2 linked regions of the Rattus norvegicus genome follow. The protein of the gene in region 1 purifies or fractionates together with the protein of each later gene. This does not show direct contact. Links are inferred from orthologs where the notes say so. Each region holds a gene or a part of one and is shown on either strand. Other genes may lie near its edges. The genes, in order: Acvr2b and Inhba.

Evidence for each region.
Region 2: the proteins of Acvr2b (region 1) and Inhba purify together in Homo sapiens (affinity purification with western blotting; 3 studies listed by BioGRID and IntAct, with this or other methods). This does not show direct contact. The link is inferred for Rattus norvegicus from reciprocal best matches to the Homo sapiens genes ACVR2B and INHBA.

What each region holds. Positions count from the first base shown.
Region 1 is NC_086026.1:128,044,148-128,047,955, forward strand, and holds part of Acvr2b (activin receptor type-2B precursor), read left to right. Parts: intron 1-355; coding exon 356-499; intron 500-695; coding exon 696-844; intron 845-1,663; coding exon 1,664-1,778; intron 1,779-2,958; coding exon 2,959-3,097; intron 3,098-3,185; coding exon 3,186-3,316; intron 3,317-3,783; coding exon 3,784-3,808. UniProt on the Homo sapiens protein: Transmembrane serine/threonine kinase activin type-2 receptor forming an activin receptor complex with activin type-1 serine/threonine kinase receptors (ACVR1, ACVR1B or ACVR1c).
Region 2 is NC_086035.1:53,801,767-53,805,674, forward strand, and holds the start of Inhba (inhibin beta A chain preproprotein), read right to left. Parts: upstream 2,743-3,908; 5' UTR 2,686-2,742; intron 113-2,685; 5' UTR 1-112. UniProt on the Homo sapiens protein: Inhibins/activins are involved in regulating a number of diverse functions such as hypothalamic and pituitary hormone secretion, gonadal hormone secretion, germ cell development and maturation, erythroid differentiation, insulin secretion, nerve cell survival, embryonic axial development or bone growth, depending on their subunit composition.

The sequences.
Region 1 (3,808 bases):
GATCTGAACTTGGGTCCTCATGCTTTTGCCTGGCAGGCCCTTAGCCTCCCGGAGCCCCTCCTCGGTCCCCGAGTTTGGTAGTTGACGTTATGGTCTACTCAGAGGCTCCTGACACCTGGCAAGCCTGGACTTAGTCGCCCAGGGTGCTTGAGGAGTCGAGCACTTGCTGGCTGATACTGGCTGGGCACCTCACTCAGCGTTTGTAAATCAGGGCGCTGGCATCAGCTCCCCCAGAGACTGCTGCCGGCCTGGCTCTCCTCGTGCATGTGGAGGCCAGGAGACCAGTGGTGGGGATGAAGTAGGGCATGTTGGGGTGGCTGTCCTGTGGCAGGGCTGAGCCGCCTCCCTACCTCAGGACAAGCAGTCGTGGCAGAGTGAGCGGGAGATCTTCAGCACACCGGGCATGAAGCACGAAAACCTCCTGCAGTTCATTGCTGCAGAGAAACGAGGCTCCAACCTGGAGGTGGAGCTGTGGCTCATCACAGCCTTCCACGACAAGGTGAGCTACACCCCAGCAAGGCCCCGGGGTGGACAGGGAGGTCCCAACGGTGGCTTTGCCATGAGTCGACCCCCGTGTCAGCCGCACCTCGGTCCCCTCTGCACGCTTGCACCAGGACATTCCCGCTGGGCCTGGGTTGGGTTGCACCCTGTTCTGCATTTGGAGCCTTTGCCCACAGTCGGCTGCCTTCTCTTAGGGCTCCCTCACGGATTACCTCAAGGGGAACATCATCACGTGGAACGAGCTGTGTCATGTGGCAGAGACGATGTCACGAGGCCTCTCGTACCTGCATGAGGATGTGCCGTGGTGTCGTGGCGAGGGCCACAAGCCTTCTATTGCCCACAGGTACCTGGTTAAGGAGCCCTCCCTGCTGTAGAGCATGGCTCTGCTTCCTTGAATGTGCCTGTGCTGCGTCCCAGTAAACCCTGCTCTCCCGTAGCTGGAGACAGCTAGCTCTCCAGGCCAGTGCTCTTGCGCCCTCTGCTGGGCACAGGAGAAAGTGCTGACTCTGGAGAGCTGGCTCTTCAAATTCTCAGATTGTGGTCCAGAACCTTTTATGTCCATGTTTGCTGATGGTTGCTAGCACAGAGCACACGTGTTTTATGTGTCGCCACGATAACATCAGCTGTCCACTATTCCCCTGGGGAGCCCCACTCTATACCGATGAGATTTAAAAGGGCAAACGGTAGTCAATTACCAGTGCCTAACTTCACGGAGCTCTGGATTAGGATCTTTTAGGATTTCTGAGCCACGCTGTTGTTTGGTTGGTTCGGTTTTGGTTTTTCTAGTCTAGGCAGAGTGGACTGCCTGCACCACTCGAGCACTGCCCTGCCTGTGCGGCTTTAGCAAGCTGACTCTATATTCTTGTTCACATTCCAAACATTGTAAGATTTGTGTGCCATGCCCTGTGAGATTTATGGGCCAGCTTCTAGTGCTGTGGTATAGGGTCTTACCCAGCTGCCAGAGTGGGACCTGCTGTATGGGCCCCTGAACTCCCAAGCCGTTCGTCTCCTGCCCCACAGAGGTGGGGATGGTTTGACCCAGGAGCTACAGGTCATGGACTCTAGTAATTTGAGAGGCAGGGTGGGAGGAGGATCGAGATCAGCCATCTCAGGGTGGGCCGGGTCTTGAACCTGTGTGACAGTTTGCTCTTGGTCTGCTCAGGGACTTCAAAAGCAAGAATGTTCTGCTGAAGAGCGACCTCACCGCGGTGCTGGCTGACTTTGGCCTGGCTGTTCGGTTTGAGCCGGGGAAGCCTCCAGGGGATACCCATGGGCAGGTAAGGAACCTGGGCAGTGGGAGGAGAGGCTGGCACAGAGCTCTGGGCTCAGCTGGGGTGACTGCAGAGCTACGTGGGAACTTGGGAACTAGGTTCTTAACTCACCAATAGAGAGGTTGGCGAGGCTTCCTCCAGCCACCCGGCTGAGGGATCCAGGCTTCATTTGGGCTTCGGCAGCTCGTCCTGGTATTTCAGTCTTTCTCTTTCTGTTGTAATTTTATTTTATTTTCCCAAAAGACGTTGTGTGTGTGTGTGTGTGTGTGTGTGTGTGTGTTGTGTAAGAGAGTCAGGTTTTTTTCCAGCATGTGGGTTCCTTGGCTTGAACTTGGGTCGTGTGGCTTGCAGCAAGCCTTTACCACAGAGGCTCCTGCCTGCCCTCAGTTGTAGTCATTAAGCGAGATTAAAGAGGAAAGAAAGGGTGCTGAGAATCCCAGCCAAACGTGTAGAAAAGGCCATGAAAATTAAGCCAGCAGTCATCCTGGGGGAGTCTCCCTGTGGTTTAAACGAGTTCTCCACATTCTTCTTCGGCCTTTTGACTGTTGCTTCATTGTTTATTTAACCTGTGTATTCCCGTTTCCACACGAGTTGCTTGTCTGGGTTTGGAGGCCTGGGGTAGCCACTGGGCATCTTCCTTGATCACCTTAAGCCTTGTCGATTAATACTGGGTCCTTTGCTGGTTATCAGGTAGTCTAGCCAGCTTTCTCTGGGGACGCCATCGTCCCCTCCCTGTGCTGCTGTTGCCACATTTATGTGGCTTCTCGATATCCAAACTTCTGTCTTCACACTTGAGTGGCTGGTGCCTTAGGAGCTAAGCCGCCTCTTTATCTGTTAGAGGGTCTGTCTCTGTGTCGTTCAGGTTGGTCTGGGACTTTTAGTTCTCCTGCCTCAGCCTTCCGAGTGTCTGGCTTTACTTTAGGCACCGTTGGAGGAAAAAGCCTCAGAGTAGCCTGTTTGAGATGTTCCAGGGCTGCACAGCTGTCTAACAAGCACTGCCTCCAGTCCATCAGTTACTGTCAGATAGAATCATAACCCTGCTTCAAAGGGACGGACCAGGGCTTCAGCTCCAACGCTTCGTGCTCAGAATTCCAGTCTTACCCAGCCTGGTGCTCATTGCTTCTCCCAGCCAACTGCATTTGAGTACAGCTGGTCTCTGGAGATCCTGTCCTTTGTCTTCCTGTAGGTTGGCACCAGACGGTACATGGCCCCCGAGGTGCTGGAGGGGGCCATCAACTTCCAGAGAGACGCCTTCCTGCGTATCGACATGTACGCCATGGGCCTGGTGCTGTGGGAGCTCGTTTCTCGTTGCAAGGCCGCAGATGGTGAGTGGTTTGTTGGCTATGGGCACCCTGGGCTGGGGGCTTGGAGCTGGGCCTTGTGATTCCATCAGAGCCCCCACCCGTCACTCAGGGCCTGTCGATGAGTACATGCTGCCTTTCGAGGAAGAGATTGGCCAACACCCTTCACTGGAGGAGCTTCAGGAGGTGGTTGTCCACAAGAAGATGAGGCCCACCATTAAGGATCACTGGCTGAAACATCCGGTGAGGGAGCTGGGTTCTGGAGTCAACAGGGGTACGTGAAGGGAACCTGCCTCGGCGTGAGGAGGGAAGGCTACCATGTTCCCTGGGTTCTAGGGACATATCCCTGAGGTTGTGGGAAATATGGTAGGCCCTTTCCTCCTTCTTGTCCCCTCTGTGGCTCAACTGGGAAACGTTGGACAAAGCTCTGTGTTTGGGCTTTGTGTTTATTTGACTTGAGTTCCAGTGTTCCAAGATGAGCAGCTCTGCCTGCGGGGAGCGGGAGCGAACATTCTCCTGGGCCCGGGCTCCGTGGGGTAACCAGCGGGAGGAGAGGAGTTTCAGGGAATTTGCAGCCTGATAATCCACCTATAATGGCTATAACTGGGCCTGGGCCGTAGGCCCTTCCTAATCCCCTGACTCATAGCCACTGGCTGCCCTCGCTGAGTAGCCCTAACAAGGGTTCTTTCCTCCCTCCCCGTCCTCCGCAGGGCCTGGCCCAGCTCTGCGTGACCA
Region 2 (3,908 bases), on another chromosome or scaffold:
CTGGCAGCAAAAGTCGTGTGGTTGCCTTCTTTAAAGGCCCTGCTTTTCCTCCCCACCCCTCACGTACAGGTTTTTTGGACTTTTTTTTTCCTTCTCCTCTTCAGCAAATTCTCTGGAACAAGAGCAAAAAGTTTTCTGTGAAGTTTTGTTTGCAGGTTCCCTCTCTGAATGCAGTCAGTGCTGTAGGTTTGTGGCTGTCAGGGAGGAGAGTTCTGACTGTCTCCGAGTAAAAGAGAAGGAAGGAGGGAGGGAGAGAGGGAGGGAGGGAGAGAGGGAGGGAGGAAGGAAGAGACAGGGTGGGGGGAGACAGAGACTGAGAGAGGATGGGAGGGAGAGACAGGGAAAAGGGAGAGAGGGGGAAAGAAGACAGGGAAAGGGGGAGAAAGAGAGGGACAGCAAGGGAGGGGGAGGGAGAGAGAAAGAAAGAGAAGGAGGGGGAGGGGAGGGAGGGACTGAGAGGGAGGGAGGAAGGGAGAGAGAGAGAGAGAGAGAGAGAGAGAGAGAGAGAGAGAGAGAGAGAGAGGCGGATTGGTCCTATGTGAGTGAGTGAATGGGAGAGGGAGGAGGCAGGGCGCCTGTGAGTATGAGCTGTGACTAGGGAGGAGGGACAGCCCGTTTCTGACAGGCTGCCTCCCGCTGCTCCTTGCTCCCTCACACACACCTCTCTCCCAATCCTACCATTCTCTGGGGGGGATGGGGACTCTTCCGTCCTTTCTACAATAAATTCTCCTAATTCTGTTCACTTTTAGTCTGGGGGTTTCTTTCTTTATTTTGTACTTTTTTTTTCTTTTCAACTTTCTCTGCTCAAACCTTTTTCTTGCCTCACCTTTCTTCTTTGGGGGGCGGGGGAGTCCAAGGAAATTAAATGCACTGTTTCCATTCACTGAGATAACTAGATAGGAAAGTGGCACCAAGTCATCTCCCATGGTCTTGTACTTCCCTGGAGTAAGCACCCACCTGACCTTGATATGGGTCTGAGGGAAGTCCTCAGATTGGTTGGGGGCTGGGGCTGAGGCAGAGGGGCTGCCTGAGACAGCTGGTTGTTCTGCCTGACAGAATCCAGAACCATTCCTTTCTGCCATTCATTCATATTTAAATGTCCAGGGTCCTTATGCCAGCAGGCGATCTTATGGGACCTGGAGCGCAACACAACTTTTGTCTGGGGTCATATAATACACTCTGCTTTTGCCAAGTGGGCACCACAACAGGGCATTGGAAGCTCCCTTGGGCAAGCAGCAATTTACATACACAGGGAAGGTACTCTCACACACACCCTGCCCCCTGCATCTCCTTTCTCTACCCTGGATGCACATATACTCAGAAATTATAGCCCACTGCCCATTGTCCTGGCTTCACTGATAAAGCACAAAATTCATTTGGTCTTTCTCACATCCTTTCATGAAAAACAATGTACTCTTACAATGTAACTAGCCTAGAGGGCAAGAATCTCTAAAATATACCAGGAAATTCTTTTTCTCTGGCATGCACTACTTTTGTTGTTCTGCTGCCCACCTCCCCTCGCCAGCCTTGACCATAGTGTAGCATTCAAGGCAGGCTGCCTGGCTGTGTTGTTTCTCTTCAAAGTACCAGCAGAGCCGAGTTCATTGAGGATTACAGTATTCAGAGAACGAGACAAATGTGCACTTAAAACAATGCCTTTCTGAGGCTTCTTTTTAATTCTTCACACCACCTTTTCGTTCTGTCTTGTGCAGAAGATCTTTAAGGTGTCCATCTGTTATAGCAGTCCTTCTTTCTCAGTTTCTTCCCTACATATAAGCCCGCTGGTTTCTGCAGATACATTCAATCCCTTCTGCCTGACACCCGCTGTGTTCAGAGTATTCTAGGCTAGCAAAGCAGGTCATGAGGACAGAGTTAATAGGGGTCAAAACTACAAGCATAAGATCTACATACAAGGAGAAGAAGTTCAGATAAGCATGACACTAGGTTAAACTTCCAGTTTTGACAGGTAACAATGCTTCCTGAACAACACAAATGCTATCTTTCCCCAAAGCAGCAATGCACAAGACTTTCTTGGTTATAAGCCCTCTGACACCTCTGCAGGGCTAGGAGGACTCCCACCTCCAGAAACACCAAGGACACTGCTGTTGTTGGTAAGACTGTCCATATTACCTAAAACAAAACTCTCATTAAAAAAAAAACCTGAGGGAAGTAGGAACACTGGCATCACAATGGTTTAGGAGAACATCTTTGTGTTCTAATAACATCACCCACCTATTTGGAGTTACAGATACAGAACCCGAAGCATTTTGTAGCACAGTTAAGTTTTACAAGACAGACTAACATAGAGCTAAAAGTTTAATGACTCTAAACAACTCAAGAGTCCTAATAGTAGCATTTGGATAACAGCAACTTATCAATGTTTGGATTCTCTCTGCATGTGAATATGTGTGTGTTCCCTGGATTTACTGTTTGCAAATGGAACTCTTAAAAATAGCTTTCTTTTTGGCATATGTACTTGTATATGTGTGCTGAGTGGGTTGTATAAACACATAATCTATTTGCATGCTCTAGGACTATTAAAAAACAGTATTAACCTGCTTGCACAATAGAAAAACGATACAAATTACAATGCCTATGGAGGTGCCAAAAAGTTGTAAAAGTCCTTTTAGCCACACTGACTTTTAATGTGTAGAGAACTCGAAAGCAAGAATTTAAAAGCATTACCTTTCGGGTCCCTTCTGTTTTGCCAGCCGGCTCTTGTCTCATGAGGTCAGAGCTGTCTGAGTTCCTCTTCATGGTATTGGCACTGTGAAGTTTTATACTGTAGTACTTAGTTGTACACTCACACATTGGTACCTCTCAAAGAGGAGGGCTGGGGCTTTGTTTAGGATTGGTTAGAATCAGCATGACATCAGCAGATGACTCGTTTTTCCAGTGTGAGACATTTCATAATTCACTATCTAATGGAAATCTCTCTTGGCTTCTGAGACACGACCTGGGTGATGCATTGAGCCAGTGAAGCCTGTGGCTAGGAATAGTCCACCCTTTACAAACATAAGAGAACCGAGTACACACATCTCCAAGAGTGTCCAGCTCTGACAGGTTACTATTCATACCCACTTCTTACTAGAATCAGCCTTGGCTTTATGTCTACACATAAAACATCTGTTACTTCATAAAACTACTCCTATTTGCAAAGCACCGTACTTTTGCCACAGCAAAGAAAAGTCATAGTGTTCTTCATAGGGATTCTAGTTTTATAATTATGACTACAGTAAACTATTTTCTTGAGGAAAATCTGTATGTCCGTGGTCGCCCTGCTTTGACTCACACTATTAATTACACCTTTAAATCGAATGCCGGCTTCATATACCATTTCTCACCTCAGACTTGGAAAATGCTCTTCTTCTGCAAGTGAACTTCATAAGTATTATGCCTAGGTCTTTAGAGTCCCATCCTAACTAGCAAAAACAACAATAGCACACACACACACACACACACACACACACACGCAAAATGCATCTTTTCTTTAAAAGCTTGAACATCAAGCCCTATCATTTGTAAACACTATAAATACGAGTTTAATGAAAAGAAGTGAACGCTCCTTAAAATAGAAGGAAAGTTAGGTTAGGATTTTCTTTGGCCTGGGTCACACTGGCAGTGAGATAACATAGAGAGAAGGAATGCTCCGATAAGCACAGTAAAGAGGGGCTCTTGTTCTCAGGAAAGAGTACAGCTGAAGCACTGGCCAGGTTCTCATGACAAGTCGGATAAAATGTGCAAAATCGGGAGCTAATAAAAGCCATATGACCAGATATGTTGTTTTGTGTGCCGGATTTAACATGAATAAAATAAACTTTTCACTATGCCCACCAGCAAAAGGTTTGAAGTGGGCAAGGTTCCTCTATGACACCAGGAGCTGTCTGGAGGGTCTCTCGTGATTGAGA